2 linked regions of the Struthio camelus genome follow. The protein of the gene in region 2 interacts with the protein of the main gene of each other region in a biochemical or structural test. Links are inferred from orthologs where the notes say so. Each region holds a gene or a part of one and is shown on either strand. Other genes may lie near its edges.

The links.
Region 1: of the proteins of TOP2A (region 2) and PIAS4, one has a biochemical effect on the other in vitro, tested with the Homo sapiens proteins (2 studies listed by BioGRID). The link is inferred for Struthio camelus from reciprocal best matches to the Homo sapiens genes TOP2A and PIAS4.

Annotation. Positions count from the first base shown.
Region 1 is NC_090967.1:4,282,708-4,294,899, reverse strand, and holds the start of PIAS4 (E3 SUMO-protein ligase PIAS4), read right to left. Parts: upstream 5,316-12,192; 5' UTR 5,163-5,315; coding exon 5,136-5,162; intron 1,706-5,135; coding exon 1,270-1,705; intron 1-1,269. Other genes in the region: EEF2 (elongation factor 2), read left to right, coding at 10,028-10,030, 10,886-11,100, 11,854-12,035, 12,120-12,192.
Region 2 is NC_090966.1:6,948,696-6,960,658, forward strand, and holds the start of TOP2A (DNA topoisomerase 2-alpha), read right to left. Parts: upstream 5,362-11,963; 5' UTR 5,261-5,361; coding exon 5,228-5,260; intron 4,635-5,227; coding exon 4,488-4,634; intron 4,291-4,487; coding exon 4,200-4,290; intron 3,690-4,199; coding exon 3,626-3,689; intron 3,061-3,625; coding exon 2,915-3,060; intron 2,445-2,914; coding exon 2,347-2,444; intron 2,024-2,346; coding exon 1,811-2,023; intron 1,638-1,810; coding exon 1,464-1,637; intron 1,269-1,463; coding exon 1,167-1,268; intron 643-1,166; coding exon 505-642; intron 331-504; coding exon 192-330; intron 1-191. Other genes in the region: collagen alpha-1(XVIII) chain-like, read right to left, coding at 6,587-6,797, 7,328-7,440, 7,568-7,762, 8,106-8,174, 8,342-8,407, 8,495-8,557, 8,688-8,822, 8,921-8,973 and 10 more. UniProt on the Homo sapiens protein: Key decatenating enzyme that alters DNA topology by binding to two double-stranded DNA molecules, generating a double-stranded break in one of the strands, passing the intact strand through the broken strand, and religating the broken strand.

The sequences.
Region 1 (12,192 bases), on a different chromosome or scaffold from region 2:
GTAAACATATGGAATAACTTATTATGGAAGACAACTGAAAAAGGATATAAACGAGCTCAAGAGATAGCCAAACTATCCCATGAAGGCAGAAGAGAATGAAAAGGTCTAATGAAAAAGCAGAAAGATTTAAGAACTAAGAAATTAGGAGCACAGGGACACTGGACCTGATGGCCATTTCCTGTTCTGAAAAATGTATGTTCCACTGCTATAAAGACGACAGCTTTAGGAATTTCTGAGTTGCGGTCAGACAAATTGCACAAAAGCTCCGATCACTGTCAACGAATCCCAAACATTTGTCTAACCTGACTATACTAGGCAGCAATAGCCACCGCACAGCTCTTTATTCAAATTTCTAACATATGATCCAATACTGCAGCCCTTCACGCACCTGCACAGACAGAAAATGCATTATCTTCCTCTATGACAGTTCTTTTTGGTCCTCAGGCACAGCAGAAACATGCTTTTTCAGCAAAGAAAGATCAGCTTCCCAAGTTCCAGGTTCACTTAACAGTGAGGCCTGGTATCACCATATTTGCTTTATAAGCCAATGAGGCTGAACACCGTACAATGATTTCAGAACTGAAATAATGAAGAGTCAGACACCTAGCCCCAAAGTGGGAGAAAGCGCGTCTTCCAATTTTCAGATTTCCCTAGTTGCTCCTCAAAATACACAGTGTCAGGCACAAAGAATTGTGATAGGCTTAAAAAAAAAAAAAAAAAGTCAGAAATACTGTTTGATATGTGTACCACCTTCTTTCATCCACAAGAGGATTTAGGTTAGGTATGTTAAGCACTGAAAAACAGCTCTAATGTAGAAAGTGTCAGCGTACTCGCCCAGCACAGGTGCAACACCAACACAGAAAGAAAGAGTTTCATCAATATACTGCTACATTAGGGAGAAGGAAGACAGATTGTGATTCACAGCACAAGACTGCAATGTTACACGGCAGCATTTCCAATGAAGGATATGAAAGCTTCAGCCAAACAAGACAGGCTTTTCAAGTTACAACTCAAAGTGACCACCTTTGTGTTCTAAGGCAAGGGGAAAACAGATAAGAATATTCTACTCCATGCTTACAGCATCTGGGAGGAAGACTGGGGGGGGGGGGGGGGAGACATCCACCACAACATGAATCACTGTTTCTCCTTCCATCACACGATTTTACTGATCCTTGAAAACACTGCCATCTTTTCAACACTTGTTATCTATTTCAGTTTTCTTTCCCAGACCGACTCCAGCAGAAAAGCACCAGAATACAGACAACTCACCTAACTCTGTTGGCTTCAACAGTTCATCCAGGGTCGTATAGAAGGGAAGTTTCACGAGCCGAACTTCAGGCTTCACAACTTTGGGCGGCAACCTTCCCAGTCCGTTAAGGTATTTCCCATAGAGCGCAGGATAGTCAATATTATTAGTTGAGATAGAAGTCCTAGCAACAGTGCTCCCACGGTCATATGAAGAATGTATGGAGAGTGCCTCAGGAGACCGGTGCTGCTGTGGCTGGGGCTGCCCTGGCTCAGAGCTCTTCTTGGCATAGCGAGTCTCATAGAGCTCTTTAATCTTCTTGAAAACTTCAGGGCTACAGTCAAATTGAACCAATTGCAATGCTCTGGTGACTAGTTCATGTTTAAGTCCACTTTTGCTCCTGCCAACAAAACCCAGCAACATCTGAAGATCCGAGACTCGGAAACTCATCACCATGTTCTAGGGAATAAAAGATCAGAAAAGTTCTTACAGTTGTAAAAAGATAAAGTGTCAGTTCTCACTACGTACCCTGGAATCCAAAATACTAAAAACAAAAACCTGGTATAAGAACAATACCAAGCCTTCTGTTCAAATTAGCTGTCCTGCGCCTGATTAACATTCCATTTACCAGGTACTTGTTTGAGCAGAGGAAATACAAAGGAGACCATCAATTGAAAAAATCAACCAATTCACCCAAATGAGCGAAATGACACATGATGGTCACTGAGTTAACTCAAAATCTAAACGTCCTCAAGGTAATTCTACCAGAACTAATGGTGACCACAAAGTAAAACACTCAAAACAGCCTGCCCCACACAGTAGAGTATACATTAACCCCTTTCACCATGAAGGGGCTCAAAGTATGCAGACTTCCAATGCACCTTCGGGTGAGAGGGTTACATTAAAAGCTTAATCTAAAATATTATCAAGTAAGGTAAAGGAAGAAAATGAACGTGAACTGGAGGGTGGATGACATTTCAGTGGACTGGGGCTGCCAGTCCTTTAGGATTCTTCGCACTGTATTTCAGTGCATCTAGATATTGCCTGTATGTGCAAAAAAAAAAAAAAAATCCAGAACTCTCCCTACATATGCAGGGCCTTTTAAAAAAGGCATCAGATATTTTAGGCTATGGAGTGATATTAAAAGACTATTAAAGAGGGAGAAGGATGTTCCCATGAGAACAATGCCTCCAAGATTCCATTTGGAGGCTTTGCCAAGCATTCTCCCATGATTACAGCCAGTAGCTGCTTTTGCTCTTGCTCTAGTACTATTGATTTCAATGTTTTGATAAGCAGTAAAACTATCTGTCTTCACAAATTCACTCCTCTTGCTGCTGTGGAAACTCAAAAGGCCTATAATTTGTCAGTAGATTCAAAGACCATACTATATTAGAAGGCGATTTTCCACCAAACTAAGAACTAGAAATTATTTCAATTGGGACTAATGCTAGAGTCTGGTCAGATTGACGATTGAGTTCTCTCACATGGCAAGCGGCTTTATGAATGTGCAAGGCAAGCTTATAAAGGACATTAAAAAAAAAATGCAAGTTGCACGAGAATGTACTTGATAGGCACCCACGATTATTCCTTCAGCGTCCTTCCTTGTTTGTGGAAAACGTCAGAATTCCAGAAGAAAGCTCAACTGCTCCATAGTAAAGAGCAAAAGCAGGGATGAGAGATCAATAAGTCTCTTTTCCCCAACCTACCCTCCACTCTTGTTTGCTGATTACACTTAAGAAAAAATGCATAAAGTCAGTTTTCTGTGGAAGTTAAAATAGTAGTCTTACAATTTCCTAGAGGGAGGAAAAAAAAGATGATGATGACATGGATGAATTAATTTTTTAAAGCTACTGTTTAGTCCAGAAACATTTCACAGCCACATCTGCCTGTGCGGGAATTAGGCTGTAAAAAGAATATCATTTTATTTTCTCCTTTCTCATGAAATCTGTCATTTAATCTGGAAACCCAAGAGATGTTAAAGAACTTCACACAAATGTCATTGGCTGCAGTTTAGATTTTTTGGTAGCTGAGATGTGTCCCAGAATACCTTTGATGTGAGAAAAAGGCAAGTAACTTTAAAGAGGAGAGAAAGGATGTTTAACTGCTAGAACACGAGGATTCAGGAGATGTGGATTCACTTCACTGCTTCGCTAGATACCACCTGCGTGATCCTGGACAAGTTCAGTTCCTCTGTCGTTATTTGCTCTATCTACAAAATGGAGAGCGTACTGGACTCTCAGAACTACTTCAAGGATAAACAGCATATTTGCAAAGATAATTACAGCAAGGCTGTGAAGCACTTCAGTCGTGCAGTAACGGGGAAGTCACATTGAGCACAGCAGATACTCCTACGCTGCTGGTCACTTGGGACCTTAGGTACGTACAGTGGAGTTTGACCCAATAGTTTTCCACAGTTTACATTTAGAAAGGTTTAAGACCTAGAAGGATGATCAGATTTGAACAGTAACAACAGAACAAGTTAGTTTCACACAAAGAAAAATGCATCATCGAGGCTTAGATCTGGATGACAGTACGAGCGGTACTTAGATCACATTAACTACTGAGGTTATTTTAACACTAAATTTTAAGTCAGCTCCTTTCCCCAAGGAAGCCTTGCATCTGAGTGGCAAACTGTGTCACTCAAACATCTGCTAAGGAGGCAAGCGATGAAGTCTTGGAAACATACCTCCTCCAGAAGCGTCCTGGGCTCAGCTCAATTGAGAGGGGCCAAATACTAGGGAGAGGAGAGACCACAGGGACTCCTAAAATAGACTCTCCACATCTTATTTTTTGCAACCATCTAGCCACATCCTTACTTATTAGCTAATCCTGCAGGTGCTATTAACAATTTCTGTGCGTTGAAGTCACGCAGTAAACACCCTTAGCGCCAGCTTCGCCATGGCACCGTTGCGTGCAGTCTGCTCAAGCGCAGCGAGTCGCTCCCCTGCGCTGCCGCGCGCTGACAGAGCAAAACAGAGAAGTCCCAGAATCAGGGAGAGAAGAGTAAATTGGGACTCCGAGAAGGGAAAACAATAATAATAAAGCAGAGAGCGGGTCCTATTCTGCTGAACCTCCTTTCCGCAGGAGGCCTGCTGCGGCGCACAGGACACTTTGGAAGTACGGTACAACTTCAGGTACGCTTGCTTTAAAAACGCTTCATTTGGAAGCGCCTGGGACATACCCGGGAAGCTCCATGCCGCGCAGAATCAAGGGGGGAAGCTTCCCCCCCCCCCCGGATACCTTCCGCTCCTTCCCCACTTCCACGCTCTGCCCTCCGCGGAATCCCCCTCCCCCGCCGTCGGCCGGAGCCGGCACAAAACCGGCCCCGGCGGCTGGACAGCTCCGCGCCCCGCGGCCCCGCTCCGCGCCCGGCGGGCACGAGGCGCCTGGGGGCCCCGCGCGGGCGCCCGGCGGGGCGGGGGAAGGGGGGGGTGGGAAGGAGCCCCGCGGAGGCGGCCGGGAGAAGCCACCTGCCTTAATTAATTACTCGTAATTAATAAGGGGAGCAGCGCGGCCCACGCCGCGGGGAGGGAGGAAGGGGGGGGGGGGTGGACCCAGGGGCAGGCTCGGACCCGCCGGGCTGCGAGAGGCGCCGGGCAGGCCCCGGTTGTGGGGGGCGGGGGCTGGGCCCGGTGAGGGGGCCGCGGCCGAGCCCGGGAAGCCGGGGCGGGGCCGGTGGCTCCTGAGGTAAAGTGTGTGTGGGGGGGCCGGTCCCGGGGGTGCCGCCCCCCCGGCTCTCGCCGTCGCACCGCGCCGCCCTCCCCGCCGCCGCCGCCCCCCTCGCCGGGAACCGCCGCCCCGCGCGGCCCGGCCCTGAGGCCGCAGTCGGCGGCGGGGCGGAAGACGGGGGAAGGAAAGGGGGGGGGGGAGGAAGGTGCCGCTCACTCACTTTCGCCTCCACCAGCTCCGCCGCCATCTTGGCCTCCAGCGTCCACCGCGCCGGGAGCCGCCGCCGAGTCACGTGACGCCCGCGGACGGACGGGGGGCGGGGAGGGGCCGCGGGTGGCGCGCGCCGCCCAATCCGCGCGCGCGCGCGCGCCCTTCTCCCCGCGGGCCGCGGCGCCGCGGCGCAGGCGCACTGGCCACGCCCCGCCCGGCCACGCCTTCCCGGCTGCCTTAAAGGGGCAGCGCCCCGGGAAGCCGGGAGGCGGCAGCGTTACCGGAGGAGGGGGCGGCGGTGGGGGGTGGAGCAGCGATGGCGGCTCCCGGGGTCGCCGCCCTTCAGGAGGGGAGCCGGTGGGGAGGGGTGTGCCCACGGTGGGGGGGGGGGCAGGGAGCGATGCGCAGCACCCCCAAAATGGCCGTGGGGCAGGCAGGCCGCACCAGGCCCCAACCGGGGTACAGGCCCCAACCGGGGTACAGGCCCCGGGGCCAGCGGGAGCGCCCTTGGCGGCCTGTCCTGTGGCCTTGACCCCTGCCCGAACCTCCACGCGCTCCTTCGAGGCCCGGGCTCGTTCGTGGGCACGGCGGTGGCCTGAACCGGAGGCGCCTGCCCGCGTCCGGCTGCGGTCACCCCAGGGAAGGGGCAGGTTTTTTGTTTGCCCCCACTTCTGAAAATGGCCTAAAATACGGGGACGTTGGGTCTGGTCACCTGTAGTTTGCCTGGAAGGTGTTTTCTGGGGAGCAGGCAGCTGAAACAGGCATTTCTAAGGTTAAAAACCCTCTGGAGGGGAAAAAAAAACCCAAAGGAACCTGACAGCTTGTAGATCCCTCCTCGTCAGAGGAAAACAAAGGGCACAAATCTAATTCTCCCTCGGCAGCAGCCTCCACTTGCTTATCTCAGGCTTTGCTGTTCAGTCGCAGGCCTCAGAGCTGCCAGACGCTTGCGCATACACCAATAACGAGCACTCCGCTTATTCCAGGGGCCGTTAACCCCCTGCCTCTGCTCTGAGGGACCAAGGCCTCCAGAAACTCCTGTGATGCTGTCACCCGACACGGCGCCCTCCCGAGCACGCGGCGTTGCGTCGCTGAGACACCCGGCGCTGCAGCTGGGAACCGACCGCCCCGTGGTGACGGCGCCCCAGAAACCCCCAGGTCAGTGTCTCTCTCCATATTTCTAGGTGCCCAGGGAGGAGCTGATCCTCCAAGAACCCGTCCCTGCTAAAAACGCCTTATGTGTAGATAGAAATGAGTTCTCCCCAGCTGAAACCTGCCTGCAAGTCACTCTTTTCCCGCTGGGATCTGGGTGCTCCGTTTCTAAGCGTGAGGCCAGGAACGAGCGCCCAGCACAGTCCCTTTCACGTGGGCCGAGCAACTACATCCAGGCAACTTCAGGCTGAATTACCAGGAGACAACAGAGAGCCCCTGGGCACCTGCGCGCCTGCGGGCTGTGATGGCCCATCACGCCCGGATGTACACGAGAGGGGACGGTCCCCGAAGACCCCGTGCCGTTGGAGGAGACGGAGGCTTTCCAGCACTTTCCCCTTCTTGTCATCAGTCCCCCAGGCCAATTAAACAAAAAGGCAATGGGCTAGTTTCCCAGGCAGGCCAACATGTTAATCAGGCTCCCCAGCCTCCCCTTCCAGTCTGGCAAAAGCCAGCATTGGTGCTAAAAAATTCAAACGGTTGCTGTGGCAACCCCAACAGCTGATAACTCATCCTGTCACAAGGGGAGCGCGGGGCTCACAGCCTCCCGGGGCCAAGGTGATTCCTGGCGTAGCTCCACCGGCAACTCCCTGGGCACCGCAGATAGTGGAGGGGACCGGTGGGCTGGGGATGTGCTGGGAATTTGGCAGCGACCTGAGCTGCCTGGCGAGGTGGCTTGGGGACAAAGTGGCTTGGATTTATTAGAGGTTTTTTTTTTTTTTTAATATGTTGCAGCTGATGGAAGTAAAGCAACAGTCTTCTATGATGCTGAAGAGAAGGACGTAAAAAAAGATGCAAAATATTTATGGTATGGAGATGGAGAGTTGCATCCTGCTGTGCTGTGCTGTGGAGTCTCTCTTTACTTGCCCTCGCTCTCAGTCTCCTTTTAATTTGATCTTAGCTCAGGTAATTCTCTTCACCGCGTAGCGCTTCAGTTTTCCCATTTGCTAAAACAAAGTGAAGGGATTTTGGCCTTTGTTCCTGCACTGGAGATGAGGGAGTCCTCCTAAAACTGCAGACTGGGTCTTCTCTCACCCTGTGTAGTCGTTCCATGTCTTTCCATCGAATTATCCCTGCTTCATCTCTGCCGGAGCATGAGGAATCATTTGTGTCAGTCTGAGACCGTCTGCAGGATGGCTGCTCGTTACTGTTGCTCTAAAAGGTAGAATGTGAACACCCAGTGATTTTGCAGGGCACTTTGAGAGACAAAGAACATACACCCATGGCTGAACCAGCATGTCAGGCCCTTCTTAGAGACCTCCTGGCGTAGGAGCGAAGTTTGGAAGAGAGCTGTGGGTTCGTGAAGCTTTACCAGGGACAGCCGATGGCGAAGATCTTGCGCGTGTCAGCTACCAAAGGAAGAGCAAGGCAGCTGGATGGGTGCTTTTGGCTCACCAGAGGACTGGCTATGGCCCCTGGGGTCCCAGCTGGAGTCGAGCAGCTCTGCAGATCCTTCCTCCAGCTACACCCCTCCCTCCGCATCCCGCTCAAGCCAGGCGTGGCTTGGGAGCGCGGCAAGGAGGTGCGTGGCCTTTCCAGGGCTCCTACAGCCCGTACCCCTCGTCCTGCCCAGCGCAGGCGCTGGGGGCCCGTGCCATCGCCAGCCGTGCCAGCCCCCGGGGCGGCTGGGGACGCGGGCCAGGCCCTCCGGCCGGCGGCAGCGGGGCGAGAGCCCCGGCCTCGCGCGCGCCTCGCCGGCACCCTTGCTGTCGTGGTGCAGTGGCGGGAGCCGCCCCGGGGACACGGCTGGGGACATCGGCGGGCGTTGTGGGGCACGTTTCGGGGATGCAGCGCCCCCCGGGGTGGGGGGGGGGGAACCGGGCACGCTCGGCCCCGCAGCGCTCCCTCCCCGCCCGCAGGGGGCGCTGCGGCGCTGCCCCCTCCCCTCCGCCGGCCGGGCTGGCGCATGCGCAGCGCGGGGGCCCTGCGGAGGGCGGCGGGGGGGGGGGCAGGAGCGGAGCGAGCGACCGCAGAAATGGCATTTGGGGACGGGGACGGCGGGGGCTGCCGGGGGCCAGGCAGGGCCTGCAGCGAGGGCAGGGGATTGCAGCAGAGCTCTGCAGCGAGGGCAGGGGACTGCAGTGAGAGCAGAGGCCCTGCAGTGACATTGCAGTGCAGGCAGCAGCCTTGCAGCGATGGCCGGGCTTAGCTGCAGCCCGCCAGGCGCCGCAGCCTTCCCTGCATGGCTCTGCCCTTGCTGCCTCCCTGCGAGGGGGCGGCTGCAGTCCGCCCAGGGGAGCCTCCCCCCCCCCCGAAAGCCTCGCGCAGGCGGTTCCCCCTGCTCTGTCCTCGCTGCGCGCCCGGCTGCCAGGTCTTCGCGTGAGGGCATAAAGCATGTGCTGCAGCGGGGGTTTGTTCGCACTTTGTTCTCGATAGGTCTCGCTCTGCAGAGCACGGGAACCCGAGGTGAGGCACTGTCGCCCTGATCCTGGAGGCCACGACAGGATTTCGCACCCCGGGCAGGAAGCCGCGTGCCACGAGTCCCTGCAGGTGCAGGGGCCACCGATGCAGGACTCGGATCACAGCGCTGATGAATCGGCCCCAAATGCTCTGCAATTTACAGCTGAGCTCACCAACCGCTCCTTAATGCTCGGGATGCAAATCAGCGCAGCCCCTGGAAAATCAGGGAAAAAGAGAGGAAAACTTAAGTTTTCCATAGAAAAAAAAGAAAACGTCACCTGCATTTTTAATGCCAGCAAGGAATTGCCCACAGATTTTAAAAGCAGAACATTCACCTGCTTTAATTGTTCGTTTTCTTTAATTTGTTGTTACCTCTTTTATTTCTCTGCCCTGTACAGACCAAGGTACATGCTTCGCTCTGCCGTAACATGTTCTCGGGGTAAGAGCGAACCAAGAAAGGCTTCCCCCAGGGTTCGGTTGCTCTCTAATGAAATCAGTGGCAGGGTTCCTGCTGGCAGGAGAGGAGCCCTCACTGACTTTGTAGCGGCTCCTCGAGCGCGTGGCATGACTGGGGACGACGTGAAGGCGGTGACAGCAGCCCCGGCAGCGCACAGCTTTCTCTCGTGGCGTGTTTAACGGCTGGCGAAGCCCCTGGGAGCGAGCACCATGCCGGGGGCCCTGGGGCCAGTGGTGGCAGGCACCAGTGGCCCCACAGCAGGGGGATGGCGGGAGGGAGGTGTGAAGGCAGCGTCAGGCCCGGTACCCTGCCCGGGTGTCCGAGGCCAGGCCCTGCTCGTCCCGTGCAGGCCCCAGCCCTCGCACCAGCTCCGTTTTTGGGGTCGCTCTGCTGCCACGGGCCATACTGGTCCGGGTTCCCGTTCACATGCCGGTGTTTGGCGGCAGGTGGGGAGGGGCTTTGCCCCCGCCCCGCCTGAGCAGAGCACTGGCAATGCGGGAGCCCCGCTCCGGTCTGCTCCCCTTCACCTCCCCCCCCCGCCCGCAGGCCCCGGGCTGGTGCCGGTGCGCGGCCACGTGGTCCCCGCCCCGGCGGAACAGCCCTCCCAACCATCGAGCCTCCCGACAGCGGAGGGCTAGACAGGCGCCTCAGCGCATGCGCCTGGCGCGCCGGCGCCACCGACTCCGCCCCTCAGCCGGCGCCGCCGTATAAGAAGGGGGCGGTTGACGTCAGCGTTCTCTTCCGCCCGCTCTGCGCTCGCCAGCGAGACAGGGCCGTCGCCGCCGCCATTGCTGCACCACCCCCCCCGCGCCCCGGAGAATCCGCCGCCATCCGCCACCATGGTGAGGCCCCGCGCCCCGCCGCCGCGCCGGGAGGCTGGGCGGCCGCCGCGCCCGCCGCGCCGGGCAGGATGGCTGCGACCGCGCAGCCGCGGGGCCTGCGGCGGGGGCAGGGGCCTGCGGCGCCGGGCCCGCCCGTGGGTGCCGGCTTGAGCCGCAGCCGAGAGCGGGGGGAAGAGGGCCGAGGCGCCCCCGGGGGGACTCCGGGCTCTTGTCGCGGGGGTGGAGGCTTGGGGGGGGGTCCTGGGACGCGTTTCGCTGTGCCGGCCCGGGCAGGGCCCTTCGTTAGCCGTCCTGGGGCGGCCGCGCCGCTGGGGCCCGGCCGGGCAGCGCCTCCTCCCCGCGGCGGGGGGGGGGGTGGGGGCGGTGATGTGGCACCGGGGCCGAGCCGCCGGCGGGGCGGTGCTGCCGCCGGGATCGGGGGCTCTGCGGCGGGCGCCGGCTGTCTTATGTAACGCTGCGGCCCGGGCAGGGGCAGCTGCACCTGGGTGCCGAGCTGTCACGTCGCGGCGTGGAGCAGAGACCGGCTCTGCTGAGGGGCTCCTTGAGAAAGCGGCTTCGGCTTCAGTGCGGTTTCCGTCAAGGAAATGCGGAGACTGCCGCAGTTTGTAGGGCACCGAGGGCTGCTGAGTGCCTGCCCTGCTGGCCCAGACCCCTCCTCGCCAAAATATTCGCGTCTGTGATGCCCTTGAAGTTCTTCCTGTGGGTTGTCTTATAACGCTGGCTGTGCAAGCAGAATTAACGTCAGTGTGACTAAACTTGGCAACGCCAGGTATTGACGTTGTTGCTTGATGCTCCTGGAAGAGCTGAAGCTGTTTTTACATATGCTGCGTTTTTCTTTTTCTCCCTTACCTTAAGGTGAACTTCACAGTAGACCAGATACGGGCCATCATGGACAAAAAGGCCAACATCAGAAACATGTCTGTGATTGCCCATGTTGATCATGGCAAATCAACCTTGACTGACTCTCTGGTCTGCAAAGCTGGTATCATTGCCTCTGCCCGTGCGGGGGAGACCCGTTTCACTGACACGAGAAAAGATGAGCAGGAAAGGTGCATCACTATCAAGTCAACGTGAGTTCCCTTCCTTCAAGGGCCTTAGTGCTCTTGGTACATGGTCTGACCTCGAGAGTGCCTTGAGCCCTAGACCTGGTTTTGGTCACGAGATGAAAGAAGAGACTGTCAGGCTCCCTCTAGTCTAGTCTAGTTGAGAAGCTTCTCTCTTCCTTGTCGTGAGGACTGCTTAAATGAAAGAGCAAGTATTGATTTACTTGTGGTGAATCATAAAGTGCTATCTTGATGGCCCCTGGGAAAGGGATGTGCTCAGCCTTCCATTTTAGCACTAGCTCAGTTTAGCGTGGCTCATGTTCGCTGGAGTCCCGCGGATGCAGTCCTGAGACCGCGTGCGAGCAGCCGTTGTTGTCTGGAGCATCTCTGGCAGTACCCCTGACAAAATCACTAGTGGAGCGTACTGGACTGTTAACCAGTTTGACGACCCCTAATGGGCATAAAAGGGATGAAAAAGGGGATTGGGACTATTAGAAAAGCTTAAATACTGGACCAAAAGAAACCATACGCTGTGTCCTCTGGGTTGTATGGAGCTAGAGGAGGTTAGGATTTCAGAAAGGCATAAGCTGTGCTGTTTTTAGCTTAAACTTGTAAGCACCCACCATACTGGCATCTTAGGAATACGTTGTAGGAAAGCCTTAAGCCCAAGTGCAGCTCTCTGTGCAGGACAGGCAGCTTATATTTGCTGTATTTGCTTTCTAAGGACTGGAGAGGGTAAAGAGTAGATAACCATTTTTATTAGTTTTTCTTTTATTTCAGAGCTATCTCTTTATTCTATGAGCTCTCTGAAAACGATTTGGCCTTCATCAAGCAGAGCAAGGATGGTTCTGGTTTTTTGATCAACCTAATTGACTCTCCTGGACATGTGGACTTCTCTTCAGAGGTCACTGCTGCTCTCCGTGTCACTGATGGTGCCCTGGTTGTCGTCGACTGCGTCTCTGGTAAGGTGTTCGGCAACCAGGTGCCCCTGGAGTGCGTCAGGCAAGTTCAGAAACGGTGCTAACTCCTTCCCCTGTGTCTGACAGGTGTATGCGTGCAGACAGAGACTGTGTTGCGTCAGGCCATTGCTGAGAGGATCAAGCCTGTTCTAATGATGAA
Region 2 (11,963 bases):
TGAATGAGAATAAATTTCTTCTAACACACACAGGTTTTGTTGGACTGCACATAGGACTGACTACAAAATGAGGATAAGCTATAATTGCAGAATTTTCTCACTTTCCTTAGGAGACAATTCTTTCATTTGTCTAACAAACACTTTTTAACTGTGTTTGAATGAACTGGTTAGAAAGGACATAAAGCACTTACCGGCATCATTGGCATCATCCAGCTTAGGAATGCCCTTAATTTTAGTGTGTTTCACAGCTGAACATTTCTTATTCAGCTGGGTCTGAGCTTTAAATTTTACCCAGTTCAGGATACTCTCAACAATACCACAGCCGACAGCCTGCAATACAAGAGATTCAATTGTGAGAAAAGCCTCAACTGTGACATAATTTTAAGGCATATATTCATTTTGTTTAAACTGACATTAGTTCATGAGTAGTATATCTGCCACATTAAATATAAGATGCGGCTTTATAGACATCTATAACTGAAACCAGTGTATTCCAGTACTTACACCCTTGATAAATTTTTCACTCAGTTTACACGTTGAGCCAAAGTTCTTTGCCTGCAGAGTCATATTCTCTTTAGTCTGAGAGTCAAAGGTTGGATTTTCGATCAAAGCATTCACAAAAATCCACATGTGGTTCTTCACCTGCAGTTAAATACAACTACCATTACAAATTTTACCAGCTCATCTCACAGGGCCTTCTAACATTTGCCTATCAGAATCACGCTGAAAGAAGAACTAGTTCAATCATCACCATTTTTTTTTCTAATTTTTCTACACGTCTAATTAAACAGAACTGATAGAATTTAGGACAGCTCACAAACATTCATGAACAACATTATATGATTTTGGATGTTAAGAAATCAGCAGCTTTCCTCCAAAATAGGTATCATCTGATATTTTTAGTGCATCTGCAATGATTTATGGTGCTCTGATTACAAAATACAACAGCTAAAGGAAGAGAAGATTGTTAGTTGGTTTAAAATGGAAAATATAAGGCTTCTATAATTAGCACATTTTTTATATCTATCTATCTATCTATCTAAAAAATCTTTACAATGGAAATATTTATTTTAAATTAGACTATTGTAATAATTCATCAGGTTGTAGCTACAATTTGCAAAAATGCTAGAGCTACATTTCCTACTAGGGAGATTCTGAGTCTGTACCTGAAAAGGCTTTACTCCAACTCCATTTTTGTTCTTCTTCTTCACAACTTCAATGAGTTTGGTCACAATCTGGTCAGCTACATAATCAACATGCCTGCCGCCCTAAGGGAAAAAAGGGATCAAAGATCTTGAGGTGATTCCATTGGGGAAAAAAAAAATACGTACTGCTATTCAAAGCTAAGTATGGTCTTTGCACAAATTAACTATTTTTCACTAACATACATTCGGAAATACCTAGGAATACTAATAATGAAGAATATGTCATTAACATGACTAAATAAGGTAAAGAAGAGTTACCTTGGTGGTAGCAATGCTATTGACAAAGCTAACTTGCTGGAAGCCTTTTTCACTTAAAGTCAAACACACTTCCCATCGAGAATTTGGTTCCTCATGGATAACCTTAAGCATATTACCAGTTTCATCCACTTTGTCCTTTACATAGAGGTCCACATAGCTACGGAATCCTTTCACCTACATGCAGATAAAAGCAGAGAATTTGTTAATAACAGTGCCTATAAATACTATAAATCACTTATGTGAATTTTCACTTCGCCACATGTAATGATGTAAATTGCTTGAACCAAATCTCATTGTTCAAACGTCATGAGAAGTATAGATATTATTTCCTTTAAATGCTCACTCACAGGCAGTTTCTTTCCATTTAGGAAAACTTTGACATCCTTCGTGGACCCAGCAATATCATACGCTCTTCGAGACATTAGTGCTACAATATCTTTATCCAGAATTGTCATTTTAAACTTTGATAGATCAGGTTGGAAAGTGATACATGTGTAATCTTCTCCATCAAAATATTTCAGCTTCATTTCACCAGCCTTTCCCATGTTGTCTGTCCAGGTCTGAGATAAAAATGGAAATATGAGTAACTAGCTTAATTTTTAAAATCAGAGAGCTGATTTACAAGTTTTAAATACTTGGAGATTAAAAAAAAACCCCACTGGTTAAAAATTAGATCCTGATTGTCTGCTCTTTTCATTACTTATTTGAATCAAAATTAGCAGTACAGTAGCTGTGGGCCAAAGTTATTCTAGTCATGGTACAAATACAAATTTGCACCAGGCAAACAACATCTAAATTGGAATAAGAACGTAGGCTCTTATTTGAGAATCTCAAGTACAACCTTACTGAAATGAGAAAACAGAATTAAAGAAAGTGTCCATACCTGCTTAAATAATTTTTTGTATTCACGACATGCAGTTTCTACAGTAAATTTTGTGCTAAATATGTTGCACAGTTTGGCTCCATAACCATTTCGACCACCTGGAATTGTAACGCAAACAGATCTATGTTGTTACATTTGTTCAAAACCATCTAAAAGAATTCCAGACTAACAAGAATTCAGTCCCTTCAGCACTGTCAAAGTACGACTCACCATGAATGACAATATCCTACAAACTTAGCACATGACTATATACCCATATTTAATGGGAATTAGTTTTCAAAGGGAATTCCTCCTGTTCTCCATGACTGTACCATTTTTATTATAAAATACAGCATGGAAACGTCCCTCTGATACACTCAGGGATTCCATTTTTATGCTGCATCAACATCACTTCTTTTTCTTAACAAGGAGAACAGCAAGGGACCAGTTAGTGTCACCTTTATTCAGAACAAGCAGTCTTGATGAAACCTGCTAGCTACTGCTCACTCACACTGGGTAATTCAGTTCACACATTTAAGCTGATCAGGCAGCACAAAAATATTAGCACTTAATTTAGAGACTTCCCTACCTGTGACTTTCTTTTCATCATCATCATAGTTGCTTGAGGTTAATAGCTGTCCAAAAATAAGAGCAGGCACATAGACCTTCTCCACTTTGTGTTCAACAACTGGAATACCTTTCCCATTGTTCCATACACTGATCGTGTTATTCTCTCTGGGGGAGAAGAGAGTGTGTCTTTAAGGCTGGAAATGACTGAGCTATGAAATAAATGCTATACAAAATCAATGGTAGAAGGCCACCGTTTCATCAAAAGTAAATTTATGTTCGGCAAGTGTAAAAACAGCCAGCAGAGGGAGGACAAGTCCAAAAAAAAAAAACCTTCAGCCTCAGATCTGCAGATACCATCTATAATATGAATAGTTACATACAAAAATAATCTGTGCTCAAGAACAGAATAAAAAATTTGAGAAGAAGGAAAGGAGAAAACGACCACAAGGCGGGGGGGGGGGGGGGGGGGGGGAAGTAAAAGCAATGATTTCACAAGCCAACGCTCTAAGAGAGCAAGAGACCTAAAGAAGATAAAGGCTTTTGTAATTGGTCAATAATGCTACACAAGTTGGCAGCTGTGGAGCTCCAGGAGTTACATTTGGTTCAACTTGAATGTGCCTCTGCAAAGAGCTCTCTATTGCCTAACACCAGCCTAACAGAACAGTATCTGAAGAAGAAAATCTAACATACGTGAACTGGGAAGACACTGAAAAAATGAAATAAAACTTACGGATCAATTGTAATTTTAATGCATGACATGTTTTTATCCCTCTGCTTGTTGTCTGCAGCATTGACTAGAATAGAAAGATTGTTATTTTTAGCATATTACACTTTCAATCAAGACAGAAAATATTAACTATAAAGTGCTTTCAGTAGAACGAATACAAAAATTGAAGACAAGATGCTACTAGTAATCATCTTGATAGGCAAAGATTTTGCAAGTTATAGAGATGAGCACTACAGGATAACATAAAAGGGAGAATCTGGGGCTGAATGGAATTGGCTTTATAATATATAGTGCCATCATCCCAAGAATGGCTTACACTTTAGTGGCACTAATGGAAATTAAGACCAGGCAGAACATTAGTATCCAACATTTTGAAGCACAGTCAACAAACGATATACTCTGTGAACACCATCCATCGGATTATGCAAAGGACATTACTTGGTCAACTGGAAAAAAGTACATTTGCCAAGTTCTTAATTTTAGTTCAAGGGTCTCTTACACCTTCAGCACCCAGAAATAACTTAAAAAAACAAACAAACTTGCTAATCACTAGTCCAATAGATATCCCACAGCTCACCTAGAATCTCATCAAAGATTTTGTACAAGCCAGGCACATAGGTCACATCTCTGCAGTTAAGGCCCACATCCTCATCAAAAACCCACATTTGCTGAAAAGAAAGTAAAAAAAACACATACATCCCCAAGTGTTTTTCAGGTTTCCCTCATGTTCCCTGCCATCAGGGTGTAAGGCAGAGGCACCCAGCACTGATTCCCACTTAGCTGGAGGGCCATGTTAACGCCCCCCCCCCCCCCCCCCCGGTGCTGGGTGCTGCTTAGCCCCGGGGTGCTCCCAGCCCCGGCGCACCTGGGTCACCAGCTCCACGGAGCCGATGTAGGTGTCGGGCCGGAGCAGGATGTGCTCCAGCTGCGTCTTCTTCTGGTAGATCCGCTCTACCGAGAGCCGCTTCTTGGCGCCGTCGCCCTTGGGCACCCGCGGGTTCTCGTCCAGGGGCTGCTCGGGGAGGGAGACAAGGGCCGTGAGGGGAGCGGGGACCGGCCACGGCGGCGGGAGGGGGCCGTGGAAGGGGAGAGGGGCGGCGGGGGACCCCGAGACGAGCCTGGCGGAGGATCCTGAGGGGCGACATGAGGAGATGGGGGGGGATCTGAGGGGAATTGGGGGGCCCCGGGGGGGGATCTGAGGGGAACTGGGGGGCAACCTGAGGGGAATTGGGGGTCACCGGGGGGGGAGATCTGACGGGGTCCGAGGGGCCCCGGGGGGGGGATCTGAGGGGAATTGGGGGGCCCCGGGGGGGGGATCTGAGGGGCCCCGGGGGCGGATCTGAAGGGAACTAGGGGGAGATCTGACGGGATCCGAGGGGCCCCGGGGGGGGGATCTGAGGGGAATTGGGGGGCCCCGGGGGGGGATCTGAGGGGCCCCGGGGGCGGATCTGAAGAGAACTAGGGGGAGATCTGACGGGATCCGAGGGGCCCCGGGGGGGGATCTGAGGGGAATTGGGGGGATCTGATGGGGTTTGAGGGGCCCCGGGGGGGAATCTGAGGGGATGGGAGATCCCGCAGCCCTGAGAGGACGGCGGCCGCACGCACTCGGAGGGGCGACGGGGACTCCTCGAGTTCCATGGCGGCGGCAGCGCTGAGAGGCGGCGATGGCGGCCCGCTAACCGCTCCGGGCGCGTTTCAAACCTCCGCTCAGCCCGCCGAAACCGGCCCGCCAATCGCAGGGCGAAGGCGGGGACACAGGCCCCGCCCGCCCACCTCCCCTAGCCAGTCACAACGCTCCCCGCTCTTTCAAACCAGCCACTCCGGCCGGGGGGAAGGCGGGAGCCGTTCAAATCTCGCCACTCACAAGGGACATCTGGATGACGGGCACTAATCTCGGCCAATAGAGAAGCAAGGGAGGGAGGTGGCGGCGAGGCTGCGTCCCTAGGGCACGCCGGCGGGGTCGCGGTTGCCTGGGTGACGGGGCCCAGCTACGGGGCTTCCCCGGCCAGCCCTGCTGGGGTGGTGCCTGGGGGCACTGGGCAGGCTCTGGGGACACACTGGGACACAGTGGGACACACTGGGACACAGGGGGCAGGCCCTGGGGACACACAGGGACACACTGGGTAGGTCATAGGGACACAGTGGGACACAGTGAGACCCAGTGGGCAGGTCGTGGGGACACTGGGACACTCTGGGACCCAGTGGGCAGGTCAAGGAGGCACACTGGGCACACTGGGACACACTGGGACACAGTGGGCAGGCCCTTGGGGACAGCTGGGCAGGTCATGGGGACACAGTGACACATTGGGCAGGTCAGGGGGACATAGTGACATATTGGGCAGGCCTTGGAGACCCACCGGGAGAGGTCCTGGGGACACAGTGGGGACATAGTGACACACTGGGCAGACCCTAGGGACACACTGGGACATACTGGGCAGGCCTTGGGGACATGCTGGGACACAGACCCTTGGAGGAGGTCCCTCTATATGTGTGTGTATATATATATTGGGGGGGACCCAAATATATATATATACATATATATTTTTTTAACATATGTGTATATATATGTGTGTGTGTGTACAAACACGCCCCCGACATGTCTCGCAAACAAGCCCAGAGCCCAGCTGCTTTCCAGGCTGTGACGCTCCGCTTCGGCCGAACGGGAAAGCACGTCCCGCTCCGTGCCCGGGGTGGGGTAGGGGGGCACCATCCCAAACACCGACCCTCCCATTCATTTATTTAAAGTTTATTTCCGGGGGGAGGGTGGGATGGCAGCATCGGCTGCGCCGTGGGGTCCGGGATGCAGATGGACACGCGGGGCAGGGCGGGGGGACCAGCGGGGATGCGCAGGGGACGAGGAGCGAGGGTTCGGGGAGGGTGGGAAGGGGGGATGGCCGAGCACCCCGCGGCGGCCATCCCGGCGGCAGCGCGGAGCCTCCGGCGGGGCCTCGGCCGGCTCCTCGCTCACCACATGTGCCGGTAGGGGAAGGCCACCTCCACGCACAGCACGGCCAGGACTTCGGAGCAGTTGTAGCGCTGCCCAGCCAGCAGCTCGCCCCGACCCAGGGGGGCCGCCAGCCCCTGGGCCGAGCCGGAGCGCCGCCAACCGTAGCAGTGCCGGCCGCGAGCCGAGCCGCCGCGAGGGTCGGAGCCATGCCAGGCCAGCCGATGGGGCCTGCGGACACAGCACCGTCTCCTCACGGCCGGCCCCGGCACGCGCCGGCCTGGCGGAGGATGGTGGTGGGGGTGGGGGTGGAGGAGGACACCTTTGAGGGGACCCGCTGTGCCGGCCCCGTGGAGGGTGGTGGGGGTGGTGGTGGTGGTGATGGTGGTGGGGATGGAGGAGGACACCTTTGGGGGACCTGCTGTGCTGGCCCCGTGGAGGATGGTGGTGGTGGTGGTGGTGGTGGTGGTGATGGTGGTGGGGATGGAGGAGGACACCTTTGGGGGACCTGCTGCACCAGACCCGTGGAGGGTGGTGGTGGTGGTGGTGGGGATGGAGGAGGACACCTTTGGGGGACCTGCTGCACCAGACCCATGGAGGGTGGTGGTGGTGGTGGTGATGGTGGTGGGGATGGAGGAGGACACCTTTGGGGGACCTGCTGCACCAGACCCGTGGAGGGTGGTGGTAGTGGTGGTGGTGGTGGTGGTGGTGGAGGTGAAGGAGGACACCTTTGGGGGACCCGCCGTGCCAGCCCCGCTCACCACAGGGGATGGCTGAGGACGTCACGTCCGTCGAAGGTGTAGATGGGGACGCGCCGAGTGGCGCCGGCCTGGCCCTCAAAGAGGGAGCTCCAGCTCTTGGCCAGCAGCTGCCCCTGCAAGCGCGAGCGGCGGTGGTGGCGGGGTGGCGTTTCGGACAAGGACGGTGCCCAGTGCCCGGCGGATGCCGCCTCAGCCCGTCGCCCCCGGCCGGGGCGGCAGCTGGGGCGCGGGGCTACCTGCCTTGAGGTTGACGACGGGCAGCGTCCTGTCCGTCCGCTTGACGATGGAGACCAGGTCCTGGGTGGGGGCCGAGAGGAACGCCCGGAAGGTGCCGTAGAGCCGGGCCTCCTGGGACTGCCGGTAGCACTGCAGGTCGGCGCCCCGGATGCCGCTCATGTCCCCGGAGAGGGGCGCGTTCAAGGCTGCCAGACGGAGCTGGGGAGGCCGGGCACCGCCTGAGCCGGCGGCCCCCGGCGCCCGTCCTGCTCCCTCGCCCGGCTGCCGGGTCTCTGCTCCTCCGCCCCGAGCGCTTGACCCTCCGGCTGCCCCGGCGGTGGGATTCCCCCCCGCCCCGGCACCAAGCCCTGCCTTTCCCGGCAGGACACGGAGGGCATTTCCCAGCAGGACGCAGAGGGTTTTCCCTGGACAGAAAGCGTTGCCTTTCCCGGCAGGACACGGAGGGACCCCGGGGCACCTCTCCCACCTCTCCTGCAGCTGGGCGACCCGGCGCCAGCTCCCGGGGGGCCGGGAAGGGGCCGGGAAGCGGGACAGCTCTTACCGAAGGGACCCTGGGGGCCACGGCGGTCGGCAGCATCCCGGGCGTCCCCGGTCCCTCCTCCTTGTGGGCCTGGGGGAAGGTGGGTCACGTCGGTCTCCGGCTCAGCCATGCCGGGCACAGAGCCACGCTGCCCTGCCGGAGTCCCCCCGCCTGCTGCGGCGCCCCGGCTGCCGGCTCGGCGGGCGCCCGGCCAGCGCTCCGGGGAGGGACGCTTGTCCCTGCGGCGCGGCGCTCACCTGCGAGGCCGCCGGCGCCACGGCGGGCGGCTCCGTGTCGGGACCTTTCGCCTGCAGCTGCTTCGCCTCCCGGGCGGAGAGGAGCGAGCGCGGGGCTGGCGCGTCCGCGGAGGACGCCGTGCCCCCGACCCGCTCGCCGCCCGCAGCCCTCACCTGGGGGCCGGGGGGAGACGCAGAGGGGTCGTCGCCGGCGAAGAGCGCCTCCGAATCCTCCAGCTGCTCAAAGCGAGAAGCCGAGGGGCTGGTCAGAGGGGAAGCCGCTGCCTTCGCCGGGCTGCTCCGGGGCCAAATCCAGAGGCGGCTGCTGGGGCTGGAGCCCGGCGCCCTTCGGGTACCCGCTCAGTACCAGGAGTCTGCTCCAGCCCCGCGGCGTCCGCAGGAAGGCGCTGCTCCCTTGGCGCACGTAGACCAGGCTGCCCTCGGGCACGGCCGAGCCCGCCTTCAGCATCAGCTCCTTGGACCCGAACACCCACGTCTGGCGCTGAGCGAGGGCGGGGGGGGTGCAGAGGTGCATGAGCCGGCGCCTGGGCGCGGGGCGGCCCCGTCCCTCGCCCCCGCCTCGAGGGCACTGGGACGCACCCGGAGGTCCGCGCCGCGGGGGTCCGGCGGCTCCGTCCGAGAGGCGTCAGCGTCTGGAGGGGCCGGAGAGGGGCCGGGGTCAGCGCGCAGCCCGGCACGCCGGCGGGGGGGGGGTCCGGCGCTGCCCGCCCCACGGCCCTGCTTCCGAGGAGGCCGGAGCCCACCCAAAACGCCCGGGAAATGCCCTTACCCGCTGGCCAGGCTGCGGCGGCGGCTGCCTGCAAAAGCCGACGGGGTTTGTTACTGCAGCGCCGGGCATGCGGCCCCCCCTTCCCCGCGCAGCGCCCGGCCCGGCGGTCCCGGTGCACGGAGGGGGATGCACGAGCGGCAGTCCCGGTGCACGGAGGGGGATGCACAAGCAGTGATCCCGGTGCACGGAGGGGGATGCACGAGCAGTGATCCCGGTGCACGGAGGGGGATGCACGAGCGGCAGTCCCAGTGCACGGAGGGGGATGCACGAGCAGTGATCCCGGTGCACGGAGGGGGATGCATGAGCAGTGATCCCGGTGCACGGAGGGGGATGCACGAGCAGTGATCCCGGTGCACGGAGGGGGATGCATGAGCCGGCGGTCCCGGTGCACGGAGGGGGATGCACGAGCGGCAGTCCCGGTGCACGGAGGGGGATGCACGAGCAGTGATCCCGGTGCACGGAGGGGGATGCACGAGCCTCGTGGGGCCGGGGCCGAGACGGGTGGCGGGGCCGGGCCGGGGCCCCTTGGCCCAGCAGAGGGGCGCCAGGCCCAGGGGCGGGCGGCGGGCAGGGACGCAAGGCCCACGCTCACCGGCTGCTTGCAGGGCGGCTGGGCGCGCGCCGGGTACACCCTCTGGAAGCAAAGACAGGCGGCTTTGCACGGGGCGCGTTCGCACGGGGCGCGTTCGCACGCGCGTGCACAGCCTTACGTTGAGGTAGAGCAGAGCTGGTGCTCCGGGCGGGCCGGGGGGGCCGGGGGGGCCGGGATCGCCGGGGGGACCTCGGGGACCCTGCGGTAGAGAGCGGTGCAGAGATCGGATCGGGGTCTTTCAGTGCTGGGGGCACTGAAAGTGCTGGGCCCCCCCCGGGGCGGGGGGCCGCAGCGCCAGGCAGTCTCACGTGGGGGATGATCGCGCCGTACAGCTCTGGCTCCTCTTTGCCGTTCTGCAGAGAAAAAGGGAGAGGATCGAGGCCGCCTCCAGCAGAGGCTCTGCCGTCGTCCGCCTGTCCCTCCACCCTCCTCCCGTCCGTCTGTCCCTCCATCGCCCGCGCAGCCCGCACGCCCCGCTTGCTGGGGCCCGGCCCCGGGGGTCTCCCTGGGCTCCGCCAGCTCGGCGGGACTCACCGGCGGGTACTGGATGGGCACCCAGGAGCCGGGCTGGCCGCCGGCGCCGGGGAAGGGGAGGTGGTGGCCGGGTTTGCAGCCGGGTTCCCCGTAGCAGCATCCCTGGGCGAGCCGCAGAGAGAGGCGCCATGAGAGCCCGCGCCGGGCAGCAGGGAGGGGTGCGCGCGCTGCGGGCATGCACACGCGTGTGTGCACGTGTGCACACGTGTGCATGCGGGACTCGCTCCCCCCGGCGCCCCAGCCTGCTTTCGGGAATCTGCCCAAGCTCACAAGTGAGATGAGTTGGGCCAAACTCAGGCAGATCCCCCGCCCCGGGCTTTGGCTGTGCCAATGCAGCGAGGCAACTGCTGGCCGTGCCCTGGCGCGGCGGGGAAGTGGGGACGCGGGAGCTGCACCCGGGGCCGGGCACGAGGCTGCTGGCACGCCGGGCTCGGAGGGAGGGGGCACCCCAGCCTGCTCGCCCGCGGCTACAAACCCGCTCTCCGGGGTCGCCCTTGTCACCCTGGAAGGAAAGCAGAGGGGGCCCATGAGCACCCTGGCTCCGGGCGGCATCCGGGCGATGCACGTGGCGTCGCTTTGTGCGGCTCCGCCAGGACCGGCGGGCGCAGCGGGAGCGGGGCAGAGGCTGCACCCGCCGCCCCCTCTCCCCGCTCACCTTGGGTCCCGGCGGCCCCGCTGATCCGTGGTGCCCGGCGAGGCGCGGGTCGCACTGGGAGGAGAGGAGGGCACGGCTGGATGAGCGTCGGGGGGCGGCTGCCCCGTCCTCCCCCCCGGCCACCTCCGAGCACCCGCATCCCGCGGGGCCACTCACCCTGTAGTCGCCCGGTGGTCCCGGCGGTCCCATGGGACCGGGCATGCCGGGCGAGCCCGTGTCGCCGGTCCGCCCGGGGCTGCCCGGCATGCCCGGCAGCCCGTGTTCGCCCTTCTCGCCCTGCCGGGACACGGCGCGGGGCTCAGCGCCGCGGACACGGCGGGTGGGAGCACAGCACCCCACGTCCCCCCCAGGTGCCGCAGCCGCCGCGGGGCTGGGGGGGACCCGGCAGCCCGGTGCCGGGTCCCTTGCTCCGGGGTGCGGATCGCCCTGTCGAGGGGCAGAGCGGGGGGCCGCCGGCTCCGTCCCCCCCCCACCCCGGGCTCCCCGTACCTTCAGTCCGGGGAAGCCGGGCTCCCCTCGAAGCCCTGGGCTGCCGGGCAGCGACGCAGCTCCTGGGGGCCCGGGGGGCCCTTCGTGCCCCGGGACCCCGGGGGGTCCTTGGGGGCCTGGCAGTCCCGGGGCCCCCGGGGGTCCATCTGGCCCAGCCGAGCCTAGAGATCCCGGAGGCCCTTCGGCCCCCGGGAAACCGGGTGGCCCCACAGCCCCCGGCGGGCCGGGGGGCCCCTGCGGGCCCTCCCGCCCGGGCAGCCCAGGGGGGCCTTCGTGTCCTGGGTAGCCTGGGGGGCCGGGCTGGCCAGGCAGCCCAGGGGCACCTGGGGGTCCTGGGATCCCCCCGGGGCTGGATGCTCCAGGCTGCTTGTCCGGCTGGAGGAAAAAAGGAAAGAGAAGCAGAGACGGTGAACGGTGGCGTGGCGGATCCCACCCGCGGGCTCCCCTTGCCCCGGGGGCCGGACATCGCCCCCCCAGCCCTCACCTCGTTCTCCGAGCCCTTGGCCAGGGCGGCTGGTGCCGGGGGGCTCCTGGCTCCCGAAGCGCCCGCCGGTCCCGGCGGCCCCGGGGGGCCTGGGGGACC